Drosophila melanogaster: one gene and its partner. The protein of the gene in region 2 purifies or fractionates together with the protein of the main gene of each other region. This does not show direct contact. Each region holds a gene or a part of one and is shown on either strand. Other genes may lie near its edges. The genes, in order: sol and CalpA.

Region 1 (6,305 bases), on a different chromosome or scaffold from region 2:
TTGAACCACAGATTGTCATAGCCGAGATCAGCACGATTGCGAATGAATTAATTACCTCAACCAAGTTGTGACAATCTTGTGGCAAGCCAATCATTAATTTAAATCATGCCCATAAACAATTTGCTTAAATAATACAACTGAACTTATAGCGGGCAGAATAAAAATAAAAGCTGGTGGACGGGCGAAATACAAACAGAAGGCCGCAGTGACTAAGCGCCACGCAAATTATCAGCAAAAATAAAAACGTAGCCAACTGATAAGCTTCTGCGGGGGATAGGAAGTTGGATGGGTGTGGACTAATCTCGGTCGCACGCTAGCTGCCAATTACATTTTCGACTCGGTCGCCTTGCGCGGTCCCTTCCACACTTTGGCGTAGATGGAGTGCTCCTCCACCTGCGACTCGGATTCGCTGGCCTCGCCGCTGCCATCGGTGCTAGTGCCTAGTCCGGCGGTAAGGGATTCACTGACCGCATCCGCGATCTCGCCACTGCCAGTGTTGTTGTTCGTTTGCGATTCGCTGGCAATCTGTTGCTTCTTCTTGAGCTTGTGCTGCTTGTTCACCTGCGCATAGATGGGCATGGTAGCCGTTGGAGCTGGTTCGGCCATAGCCTTAGCTGATGGCGAACTCGCAATGGCCACCGCCGTCGCGGCTGCCTGTGCCGCCTGCGCAGCAGCTGCTCTTAGTTGCTGCTGGGCCAGGGCCACGCATTCGTTCTCATACAACTTGTTGCTGCCGCTGGAGCTGCTGCTGTTGTTGTTGATGATGTTGCTGTTACCGCTGCTATTGCTATTGCTGTTGCTGTGATGGTGATGATGATGGTTGGAGCTAGAGGAGACGGAGGAGCTGCTGGCCATTGGCTCCGACCACTCGTTGACGGCTATGAAGACGCCGTTCCGCGGAATGGTGAACTGCGTGGGATTCATACTCACTGCTGCTGGCTCCCGCTGGGTTTTCCGCTGCAGCTGCTGCGGATTAGCCGGTGACTTCTGCTGCGGCTCCTGCTGTAGATTCAGATTTAGATTAACGACCTGACGCAGTGGCTTCATTTGGCCATGGCCGGCATCCTTGGCCGCCGACCGAGAGAGCGTGGTGATGGTAAAGTTGTACTTCCGCTTGGCACCGCTCTCGCGAACCACCTTGTGATTCTGGTTCTTGTTATTGTTGTTCTGTTTGCGCCTGCAAAAAGTGTCGTTGGCGATGGCAAAACGGGAGTTGCTGCAGGCGGCCACGGGGGGAATCCCTGCGAGAAACACATAGGGATTAGAATTGGATTATCGGATAACAAGTGCGTGCATTCCGGTTATGGGAAGCTAACACTTTCATCATGATCTGACTAAGATTAAGAACTTTACAAAAAGAGAATAGACTTTAAATAATTCGGTTGTCCATTTAAAGAGTTTCTTCTAGTAAAAATTTGGAAACGATAGGCTGGCCAATAAGAATACCTTATAGTTATTTCCTCAAGTAACCTTTAACCTTTCATTAGTTCGTTAGCTGATGAACGCACCTGTCAGCTGCGGCGCCGGCTTGATCTGCGGCAGATTGAAGATGTCCTTGCTCTGGTTGTTCGCATAGCAAATGTGGCAGCTGCGCCCGGAAGCGCTCTTGTCGATAGCGGTGCTCAGGCTCTGGGTGCGGCGCAGTCCAGAACCCGAGCCCGGTCCGGATCCCGATCCGGATGCAGATCTACCTTTGAGGTGGCGCTTATGCAAGTGCTGGGAATGTAACTGATGCTGATGCTGCTCCTCCAGTTCCTGGTGGAGGTAGTGGTGATGATGATGTGGATGTGAATGGTCCGCCGCCAGCAGCTCGCCGCGATTGCCCAGGCTGCCAGCCAGATCCTGGCCTCGGTCGGCGGCGATGGCGTCCTTGTAAATGGGCGCCAGATAGCTGACCGTGTCGCAGATGAGGCAGTGCCAGGTGACCGAGCTGTTGTCCGTGCCGCAGGCGTGGCACACCCACCGCCGATTCAGGGCCGGATTCGAGAAGTGGCGGTACAGCTCAATAGAGCTCTTGATGTACTTGCGCGTGTCCTCGCAATCCACGCAGTTGGCGGGCAGATTCTGGCTGTTCCGCTGTGGTCTTTTCAAGCATCCGCGCAGCAGGGACTTGTACACATGCTTGTACTCGCTCCTGCAAAATAGGGAAATGGGGTTTTTCGTTTTTCGTCGGGTTTGGATGGGATTCGGTGTTCTTGAGCTGTTTGGGCTTTCCCCACTTCCTGACCGCAAAGGTTATCTCAATGACTGGCCATTTTCCTACTCTCCGCTCGTCCGCTCGACTCGGAAGTTGTTCCTACACCTCTTTTGCTCTTCAGATCGCCGAGCGAGTTCGCGAATCGATAAACTTGTAAACAATGCTTCTTTATCCAAATCGATTTTCCCCAATTCTCGCTGCTCCTCGGCTGTTTTGTTGTTGCTTCTGCCTCTGCTGTGTATACATGCTCTCACATACACACACTCGCGCACACACACACACACACACACACACACGCTCAGGGACAATCACCAGTGCCGACGGCTTGGCTTTTAAAGCTAGACTTTTGAACTGTGTACTTGTACACACTGTACCTTTTCCTAGCCTTTCGAAACTTAAGTTCGTAATATAAAAATCTTTCAACTTATTCCTATACTCCCATTCGAGTTATTCCTATGGATAGTTAATCAGGATTTTCCTAACCGATTTCATTGTTTTCTTATTCTTTAAGTTTCATTATGCACAAAAGGGTTAGTGAGAACTATAAAATTTACTAAGATTTACTCGGTCTGCTCTTTGGATATTAAAGTTCAGCATAGGAGCTTACGTTGGTAAGCTTTTGGTATTATTATTCTTTGAAAGTTAAGGTTTTTGATTGACGAATTTTACCGATGAAAGTATGTACATATTTGTGTATTTGTATATTTTCCAAAGTGTGCATACAATGTGTGTGCGAAAAAAGTTGGATTTGAAAACGCCACCGATTTCTATACACATTACCATATGCGACATGATTTTAGCTAGCGCTTTTGTCCTCCAATTGGATGCCACCACTGGCGCCCACATACACACACACACACACGCATACAGACACAGACACACACAGGCACATCCTCGCAGAGGAGGCATACAGGCTGTTTGTTTTTGTGGCGACCGCTTCGCTTACCTGGCAACCGCCGCCCTGCCCTTCTCCTTGTCCCTCTCCTGCCCCTTCTCCGCCTGCTCCTGCTCCAGTGCATCATCAGCTGTCCAGGAGGCGGTGATGCTGCTGCTGCGATGCTGCTGCTGCTGTTGTTGGGGGAACACCTTGCGGACGGTGCCGCAATTGAAGCACTTGAGCGACTCCGTGGGATTGATAGTGTTACATTTGGTGCACGACCACTGCAGCACGGATGAGATGGTGCCCATTGCGCGGGGGAGTCGCAGGAGTTCCCAGATTCCTTTCGACTTCTGAGTTGTTTCTCTTGCTGTTGTTGTTTTTGTTGTTGTTGGCTGGCTGGCGGGGGAGTGGATGTGGAACTGGGACTGTCTATGGAAACTATGATGTGTAGGTGCGCTTTCGAGCTGGTGGCCGGGCGGAGATGGAGATCAATAGGAGGACCAGAACCCGGGACCAAAACGAGGACCAAGCAGTGGCTTCCAACAGTTGCACGCCGCGTTCTCCGTCGCCGTTTCACACCATTTTTTAACTGTTGCCGCTAGGGTTGTCGACGTTCGCGAACACCTCCAACGACAAGGTTGCCCGAGTGCGTGAACTCTGCCGGACAGGGTTGCCAGCGCGAGAAACACGGCTGCTACCCCGCAAAGCCAGTGTTGGCAAGTGCCGTTAATGAAAAATCGGTACCTTCAATTTTTAGACCAATTCTAATATGTTTTTGGGAATGAATACATACATATATTCATAAAACGACGCAAATACATGCATAAAATTATTTGACCTTCTATAACAAGTAATCAACATTGAGGAGCTTAGTTTAGGAAGAGTTTAAATTTAATATTTAGACATGGATTATTATTTTTTAGCCGCTTTCAAATGGAAAGTCAAATTGAACTGAACGCATTAACTTGAGTTAAATTTTAAACAAATAGAAGCACTTCATTGATACTTACTGTATGTGGAACGAAAATACCAGATTTTGGTATTTACACAGCTTGGGTATACTGCAACAATCTGGTCACTCTGCATCAGCAGCACGTGTAGTTCGCTTTTTTGGCAAAAACATTTGCTGTTATTTAGTTGTAGTGTCCAAGAAAACGCAGCAAAGATGGTTAGCTCGGAGCCGAAAGGACCTGCTAACGTGGCCAACACGGCCTCGCCCCTCAAGGCCCATGAATCGTCCGGCAAGCGCGCCAACGGACAGAAGTTTAAGCCCGGTGGAGCAGGAGGCGCCAGGAAGTTCGACAAATTCGGCGGAGGAGCAGGCAAGTCGTTTGTAAAGCCAGGCGCTGGTGGTGCCAAGAAGTTCGACAAGTCTGGGCCCGGTGGCTTCAAGAAGTTTGACAAATCCGGAGCCACCGGCGACAAGAGGCTTGGTGGCAACAAGTTCCGCGGAAAACCACAAACACAGCCACAGGCGCCGGCGGAGGGCGAGAAACAGGACTGGAACAAGTTCAAGAAGGAGAAGAAGGACCTCAAGCTGAAGCGCAAGAGTGCCAAGGACACCTACGAGATCAGCAAGGAGGCCAACCAGATCCACGAGAAGTTGCGATGGTGAGCATCCCCAAAAACACGATGAACAGCCCAAACAATCGGTTATTATCATCCTTAGCGCTCAAATTACCTATACAAATTATGATAGCTCAACAAAATCGGGCTCTTTCATGCACTTATGTACATTCAGAACGTACAAAGTTGTTTAAATTTCATAAGGCATCAATCTATACGATATAGTTTTAATAATTATAAGTCATTTTGGTTCCTTAAAGGACAAGATATCGATAAACATGGCCATGTGGATCCCAAAACGAAGCACCTGTTCGTGGAAAAACCGAACATTGCCACTTGGTTCGAATTCAAAAACACCAAACATTTTATTCATGTTCTTGAAACAATAATAGCTAGTTAAGCATTTTGATCAGTATCAAAACTAAGTTAATATAGCCTTGTATTTCTGTATAAATGTTGAGTTAGAACCAAGAGCGTAGATTCCAAAGACGCCTATTTAGCGCATGCTGTTTTGTTTGGTCATAAACAAACCAGCTCTATCCTCTGTCGCGTTTTTTTTTTTTTTCGTAAAATTACAACTAATGAATGCGCAAATCCTATTGCTCTGATATATATATATCAACATAATTTGGTGCTTGTCTTGCAGCCGCCGAACGGAGAACAAGGACAAGCTGGTGGAGCAGATATACAAGGTGCTCAACGTGGGCGACACTATTTCAAAGGTGGTGAAGGCCCACGACACCGCCCGCGTGATCCAGAGCATGCTAAAGTACGCGTCGCCAGCTCTGCGGGCCGAGATCTCTGAGAAGCTGCTTCCCTTCACCGTGGAGATGTGCCAGTCGAAATACGCCCAGTTCTGCGTGCAACGGATGCTCAAGTACGGTGCGCCAGCCACCAAAGCCAAGCTGGTGGACAGCCTGTACGGACATATAGTGCGTTTGGCCGGACACAGCATCGGCAGTGGGCTGCTGGATTCGATGTATCAGAGCGCCACACCCAATCAGCGCATCTATATGCGCCAGGAGTTCTACGGCGATCTGTACCGGAAGGCCAAGGATTCGAATGTGAAGACTCTGAGCGACACCTATAAGGAGGCCACGAACATGAAGGCCTCCATTTTGGGGTCGGTTAAAGCAAACCTGGATCATGTGGCCAACAAGCAGCTGGTGGACAGTGCGCTGGTGCACGCCGTGATGCTGGAGTACCTGCGCGCCTGCGACGAAGATGAGGAGAAGCTGGAGGAGACGGTCACTGCGTTTGCGGCTCTAGTGCCTCACATGCTGTCCACCAAGGAGGGCAGCGAGGCGGCTGTTATATGCTTCTACAAGTCGACGCCCAAGAATCGCAGAGTAAGTGGATCACGTATAACGTGTGTTGATGAAACAGAATCTTATATGTATTCTAACCCCTTCTTCAGGCCATTATCAAGAATATCAAGGAGCACCTGCTAAAGATCGCCAACCATGAGCACGGCCACGTGTTCCTCATCTCGCTGCTAAACGCACTGGACGACACTAAGGCGACCAAGAAGGCAATTTACGATCACCTACACGGAGATCTAAAGGCGCTAATGAGCAGCCCGTACGGCCGACGAGTGATTCAATGGCTGGTGGCTCCGGGTGATACGACATGCTTCCATCCAGAGTTCATTCGCACGGTGGA
Region 2 (7,504 bases):
ACTTAACGATCTAACTACTGTAAATACTTAATATATATCAGAATATGTATATCCCACGAACTATTCAGCGGATAATTCGCTTATTTACGTACGGAATATACATAGCTTTGAACATACTTACTCACTAAAAAGTTTGACGAGACCCCAACTCGGCCGGCCGCATTCTCACATCGTCATGTAGTCAAAATAATTTAAGAAACAAAGACACGTTTTTGATTGAAGATGGCTAGTAATAGTAATTTATAGATAATCTACTCGATCTAATACAACTAAAAATTAAATTCATCATCAATTCGGGTGTGTTTTAAGACATTTATATTGTGATTTATAGTTTACCATTATAGGCTTTACTCGAAGCTAATTATTTTGGTGCAAGGTTCAATCACAAAAAATAAAAAGATTAACTAAACAAAAAGCGTTGTTTCTTTTTTTCAGTTATTCGTTGAATCCAAAGAAGGAACATTTTTTAATCGTCCCCATAAATAAACATCTTAGAAAATACGGGGTATGGAATTCTTTAATAAGTTAACATCGGCTCACGTTACAAATGCAAATGTAATAAATCTTTTTATTGGGTCAACAAGTCATTAAATTCGGTAACAACACCCATCGACATACAAACAATGACGTGATTATATTGGATGAAATCTTTTTCGGAAGTGAAGTTTGTTTTGTACTATATAAAGAAAAATATTGGATATAGCCATTAAGAGATTCCATGTAAATATTTGTTCGAGTTGATTTGCTAGCTTAGATTTATATCCTTTACGAATATATTGTGCGCTCTATCCACTCCTCCAACGTAAAGGTGGCTGTTTCGTTCTTCTCGGTGTCGCGCTCCTTGAATATATCTACAAGAAAAGTTTACCATAGAATTTTCACTTTTATAAATTAGAACCACATTCACATTACCAATATATGTCTTGATTTTAACAGCGCACATGATAAAATCATCGAAGGCTATTTTGCCATCACGAGAACCATATCGATGGCCCAAAACATTTAGAACACGATTGTTTAGATGATAGCCAGCAGAGTTAAGAGCTTCGCGAAGCTGGAATCCGGATACCCTGCCCGTATTCTCAACATCATAGACCTTAAATATGGCCTTCCATTTGGCAATTTCCGAGAGCAAAGTCTCGAACTCCTCGAATCCCAGCTTTCCAGACTTATCAGCATCCAACATGGCAACCATGGAGCGGCAAACATCCTTGGAAAAGCCATGAGTCTCATCCACAATTGCTGTAAAAATTTCTTTGTATTCTAGTCTTTTTTAAAAGCGTATATATATCATCTTACCATTTGCTGTTACAGGACCTCCATCCGCCGGATTGTCCCCTATCAGCCTCTTGTTCGACTGATCATTCATTCCCAACTGCTCCTCGAATGGCGTACCCTTCAAAAACGGTCCACAAATCAAGGATAAAAGTCCACAAGCGCCAGCTCCATCGTCACCAGGGCCAGCAGCCTGGGTCTCAAAGGCCATGTTATTGGAGAAACGGTTGAAAACCACTGGTTTGGGTAAATCTGAAAGGAAATCGTTGTTTGAAAAGCCATTTGAGTAGTTTTTAATCTCGAGCCTTACCGTCCCTCATCGAATGGTCCAAAATGCGTTTCAATTCCATCCAATCCACCTCCATGTCCTTGCCGGCAATGCTGTCGAAGAGGCGTCGCAAGCCCTCCTTCTGAGGATCGATGGGCTTGGGTGTTGGGAATCCTGGCGTAATCTTTAAAGCGAAATTTCTGAATAAGCGATCCCGATCCCATTGACCACAGTTAACTTACCGTATCGGCTTTGCCGCCATAACCCACATGATCATCATTCTCTCTAGATGGGAGTGAAAAGCGAAATGATTGATATTGAAATGAATGGAAAACAATTCGTTTATAGAGAAACAAATGGAATACAATACAATTTACAGTACAAGGATTTCGAATGGCCTAATGAGTATTGAGAAGCAGATTTTCAAGATGAGCTTAATTTGTTGGGGTCCATTTTTAAAAGTATATTGTTGTGGAAGTTTCCTTTATTATTACTTTAATAAATATCTCGTTACATGACAAAAATACAATTTAAACAAGGGTTAAAAATAAACCGAAAAATTTAACTTTGTTAATAGATTTCACTATGTTGCTGCCGCCACCCTTTTTATAACTGATAAATTAAGAAAATTGAACTTCATATTGATCAGAATTATTCTTAACATGTAACAGACAGACCGACATTACATTTGAATTTATCTAGAAGAAATATATTTCGAGTTTCTGGAATACTGCAGGCGTTAATCTCAGGTAAAAATATATATAAGAGGAGTGATTAAAAAATGGCATAACCAACTTATCTGTCAGGAATGTGTAGAGGGTAAAGAAACAAATCTAGTCAAACATTTACTAGCACTAGAGATTAAAGAATACTATAGTCACAACATACCACATATTGCACGTAAGAAGCTTTTAGTTATAGAAACCCCTCATTATTTCTAATATACAAACTCATTGTCATTGTCTACTTGTACGCACTCCATGTTATTTTGAGTTTCTGAGAACACTCGAATGATGAACTCTCCCTCCTCGTTTGGATCGAAAGTTGAAGGCACAATCAGGTAGTGACCAGGAGGCAATTTGAAGCGAGCACACACCTAAATAAGAAACGCATATGTTAAGTGATTGCAGCCATATCCTGGATATATCCGTATACGTACTTCGCGGGTGTTGATAAAGTGCGGCGATCTTCCCACAGAAGACTTGTATCTGAAAAAGTTCAGACCCTGGGGACGGTTTTCCAGTTCGCGATCATTAAGGCTATAGATAGCGAAACCAATGGTCAGACACTCCATTCCCATATTGCGCTTCGATCTGCGATTCTTTTGCATTAAGGCCACGATGACGGTGCACTGTCCCTCTTCGTCTTCCTCATCAGGATCGACTAGGGTGATAATATACTGGGGGTTGTGCCAGAAGGTATCCAGGAAATTGCGGCAACCACCAGCTGTAACACCGGGTGTCCATTCTCCCTCATACATGGACATCTCCCACTTTCGCTTGCCACTGTTTTGTTGGTCCTCGGTCAGTGAGTCCGGCGACAAATTGCAAATCTGAACAAAATCATGGCGAATGAATCATGAAATATTTCACCAAGAAATATTAATAGTCCTACCTCCACGCGATCGAAGTGGTTAAGAAAATCTTGGAAGGACATCCAGAACTCTCCGTCTCTGTCGAATGTTAGTCCAATCTCCGCCTTCTGTTCCTCGGGTATATAGCGCCATTCTGGTGAGCTATCACTCCATGGTCCATTCCACTCGGCTTCATTGCCCCAAGGATTTCGCATTCTTATCATAGGGATCTTTCCCTGACGATTTGGCGTTACTATGTCAATAAGGCAAACCTGTTGACATAAGATTAATTAATAAAATGTTCTTATCATAGCAATTTTCCGAACAAACCTTGGTTATGGAGTAAGCGTGACCACGGATTAAGCCCTGAGGAGTTTCTGCCTCCGTGACATTTGGATCAGGCTCAATCGAGCATCCCATCATGGAATTGCGTTCAGCTGCTTTTTGCAGAATGGTGAATAGATTGCCGGGTGCTTCTTTTAAATCGTACCACTCGGATACGCCGCCAGTAAAGTCCTCCATGGCCTCGCAAGTGCTGCCTCCCTTTAGTGCCTCGTAGGATCCATGAAGTCTAGAAAGCATATATACATCAGTTGACCATAAAGTATGTGAATAATGTAGTCCTACTTGGCATAAGCCTTCTCCAGCAGGGCGCTCCAGAACTCGTTCTTCTCCGTGGAGTGCATGTACATCAGCTCTCCATTATAAGTGGGCAAACGGTCATCAATGATTACATCAACCCATTTACCTTAAAATTTTAAACTAAAATTGTAAGAAGCGCATGAATAATTTTTTTAATAAATAATTTACCATACTGCCAAAAGCGGAAATGGAAGATACCAGCATAGTTCTCCTCGAAACTCTGTTCCGCTGGAATTACCCGAAAGAAAAGGTTGGATTCCTGAGTTAAATTGGCTGTGGCAGCCAAGAGCCAACTGTAAATGTAAGCATTTATTTAAAACTATTAATTATTCTGGCTGCGGAAATAGAGATTTTGTTCTTACCAGTCACCAAGCTCGCCTTGCTGAACATCAAAACGCGAATAACCCTCCACAAAAAACTGGGGATTCTCGGCAATTTCCTTTATAATTAAAGCATTTATACCTTTAGTTACGGGTAATATGGTAGTATCTAAAACTTACATGAGGTCTCAGCCATTCGATGTGACGATCTGGACGCCGGGAAAACTGAAGAGACTCGTTCGAAGCCGGAAAAAGTGGATCTTCGAAAAGGGAACCACTGGCCAGGCAGCTGTTCAATATTGTCTCATAGTCCTGCACCTCGGAATAGGGTCCCAGGCTCGAGCTCTTCTCTCCCAGCTAAAAAATACATGCTATTAGTGATATGAATCTAACAAAATTGATGAACTTGATTAAGAGTATTATGTATGTACACGATAAAGTTGTGTAATGGAGTTGTATAAACGATGATGCGTTTTACACTTTACATGCGAAAGAAAAAGAACACAAGGACAACACAGTACGACACTTTGGCAGCGCATTATCCTTGGAATGGAATTATGTCAATGCCATTACGATGACGGGAGTAGGTACTTACGTTCCCATAGTACAACGTACTATTACTTTGAGATTGCAATGGTTGCTAATGAGTGGAATGTATATGTATTTGTTAACATGCATATGTAGATTTCAATGGATTGTTTTCTATGTTTGTTTAGTATAGTATAGCGCCCTATAAATAACTGTTGATAACCGTGTGGGTCAACTTACAACTCTCATATTCTTGATGCTGGGCAGAACCCTCTTGGTGTCGGCCTCCTTCTTGATGAAGATCTCGTTGATCACCGATCCGACCACATCCTTGGCCGCTCCCATTGCAGCCTCACCAGCTGCATTGAGGAACTCCTGTCCCGCTTGCCTCAAGAATCCCCTCAAGTCGTCCATCGTGCAGATATCTGAAAATATATGTACATATATAGTTTAATATCAGTTAGCAGTGTAAGGTGCCGCCTCAGATTAAAAACCCATTAATAAATATTTATTGTTCAAACATTTGATGACTAGTTAGCAACATCCAATATTTTTTATATCGCCCATATTTACTTATAAGCCTCGCGGTGGAATTAAAAGCACACCCAGAGACATAAATATGGTTTAACGAGCATTACAGAATCGTTAGTATTCCCAGTGTGACTGGAAGTCGGGCTAAATGAAATTACTTTAATTCACGCAAACTGAAATTATACTTTGGAGACAAGAATGTCTCGGTTCGCACCCAAATATAATTCAAATGTTTCTACATATACAATGCTGTATTTATACATATGTAGCCGCTATATATATATGCTATATTGTGTGACATCATTCGGAAGCATGAGATTCTCTAGTGACTCAAAGGGTGTGCGCCATTCGGGAGATTAAGCTTCGTTTTTTATCCATATTAAGCCGGGATATTGACATTGACCCATGGAACTACTACATATGTACGACACATATAGGGTATATATTTCTGTGACAATAGTAAATTGGCCTTTAATTGGGGCGAAATATGCTAGATTGGCTGACCCATCTGTTATTGTATTTGCGAACATTGGTAATTCTACGGCGAAACCCAAACAGGTTTGGTAATTAATGCATTCTTCTGGCCTGGCTCATTCCCGTGACCACCATATTTTCGTAAAGAATAGTATATTCGTCATAGGCACTTGATATTTCTAATACTATATATATTTGCCCATTTTCCAACGGACCTTGATTGGTCGAGAGAACGATTTCCGAATCGAATCACGCACTTTCACTCCCCAAAATCACAGCACAACAATAAAGTAACGGAACCACGCACCTTCACCGCACGGAGATATTTACTCACTACAAATATTTATATCTGTAGCTCAACACCTGACTGCTATCGAATGTTTTGGTATTTATTTTTATCGAAGTATTTTGCCGAAATTTGTGATTTGCCAGCCCTATTTCAATGTAAATATATCGATAATCGCCCGATTTTACTGAAAAATATTTCGATAAGAGCATCGATATTTCAAACAAATATCGACCCATTGACATGCGTCAGGTTTGTCCATCCCTAACAAAATCGTAGTACGAAATATCGAAAACGAAACACATCACGCGGGCGAAATTTCGTGAAGTTCAGCATTTACAAATTGTAAGCAGTGGTTTTATCGAACCCATTGACCAATTAGTGGGCTTCTAAAATTAGTGATAGACTTTATTAAATGAAACGAGAAAATAGAGGCGAATACACCCGTACAGCAAATTGACCATCGATTTTTTCACGGCATTGCCGGTGACGAGAATGCGACGCCGTTCATACACACACACGCACGGACACGAATGTGTGTATATGGCGCGGCGCTTGTGTGTGAAAGTGTATTCGTATAAATAATATGACATAATCGACGTGTGCGGCTTAATTGACATAGTTTTTGTGCGAAGAATACCTAAAAGTGCGAAGAGAGCGCCAAAAAAGGCGTTTTTTGTTTGTGGTCAAGGTGGCAAAAAGGACTTGCACCGCTATTTTCCCCTGCGCTTTGCTCCAAATATTCGTTCCTCCCCATACACTCTCTCGCACACACACAAGCGTGTATATTTGGGCGTTGCAGGATGAAGAACTCTCTTTCTCTCTCCCACTTTCCTTCGCTCTCTTCTCGTATTCTCTTGAACACTTTTGCGCAATTTGAGTGATTTGCAAGGCAAACTAATGCTTTTCGATTGTTTACCGAATTTAGTTAACCCCGTTTGGAAGCCAGTTTGTCTGGAAGTTACTTCAGTTTAGTTGTTTTCAACATCTCCACTTGACGTTGCCTAACACTGCCCGCCCTCTCTCTCTCGGCTTCTTTGCCACTGTCCGTGCGCAGTTCTCTTTTGCGCTTCATTCGTGCTCTGCCCGTCGGACGTGTCCGTACGATTTTGGATTAAGTTCTCGTAGGCAATTCAACTTGAAATATTTATTCGCTGCGGTGCAACTAAAATTTAATTCAAAGAATTAAAAGTGCTAAGTGCTGTTAGGAGCGGCAATTTTGCAAAAAAAAAAATATTAACAGTTATTTGGTGTAGTGCAAGAAGCCCAAAAGAGAACAAAATTATTTATTTTAAACATATTGCATTCAAGGCAATAAAAAGTTAAATCTATTAAAATTTTCTACCCTCTCCCTCCCCTTTTATTGATAGTCTCCCTCTGTGGCGTATGTGTGTTTGTACGAATTAGCGGCTGAAAACCAAAAACCGAGGTGCGAGAGCGAGAATACATTTATAAAAAACGCGTGCGTTTCTCCTCTAACACATACAGTGAGTGTGACCGTTGTATTTGTGACCTGTGCCTGTGTTAGCGGCCACTGGAGGATCAACGAATTTAAAAGAATACTAAAAGTACCGGTGAGTATTCTTGCATCTACCGGATGATGTGTT

The links.
Region 1: the proteins of CalpA (region 2) and sol purify together in Drosophila melanogaster (affinity purification with western blotting, with the first as the bait; one study listed by BioGRID). This does not show direct contact.

What each region holds. Positions count from the first base shown.
Region 1 is NC_004354.4:21,347,689-21,353,993, reverse strand, and holds the start of sol (small optic lobes), read right to left. Parts: upstream 3,715-6,305; 5' UTR 3,386-3,714; coding exon 3,144-3,385; intron 2,360-3,143; exon of another isoform or gene 2,233-2,359; coding exon of another isoform or gene 2,228-2,232; intron 2,135-2,227; coding exon 1,509-2,134; intron 1,242-1,508; coding exon 329-1,241; intron 1-328. Other genes in the region: peng (penguin), read left to right, coding at 4,243-4,688, 5,290-5,992, 6,061-6,305. UniProt on the Drosophila melanogaster protein: Has a role in eye development. Calcium-regulated non-lysosomal thiol-protease.
Region 2 is NT_033778.4:19,423,561-19,431,064, reverse strand, and holds CalpA (Calpain-A), read right to left. Parts: upstream 5,953-7,504; 5' UTR 5,827-5,952; intron 5,032-5,826; 5' UTR 5,021-5,031; coding exon 4,847-5,020; intron 4,719-4,846; coding exon 4,674-4,718; intron 4,436-4,673; coding exon 4,259-4,435; intron 4,198-4,258; coding exon 4,121-4,197; intron 4,052-4,120; coding exon 3,927-4,051; intron 3,865-3,926; coding exon 3,744-3,864; intron 3,688-3,743; coding exon 3,447-3,687; intron 3,389-3,446; coding exon 3,158-3,388; intron 3,096-3,157; coding exon 2,703-3,095; intron 2,640-2,702; coding exon 2,521-2,639; coding exon of another isoform or gene 2,481-2,520; exon of another isoform or gene 2,015-2,480; intron 1,829-2,014; coding exon 1,786-1,828; intron 1,728-1,785; coding exon 1,586-1,727; intron 1,528-1,585; coding exon 1,300-1,527; intron 1,243-1,299; coding exon 913-1,242; intron 852-912; coding exon 766-851; 3' UTR 501-765; downstream 1-500. UniProt on the Drosophila melanogaster protein: Calcium-regulated non-lysosomal thiol-protease. Involved in the organization of the actin-related cytoskeleton during embryogenesis.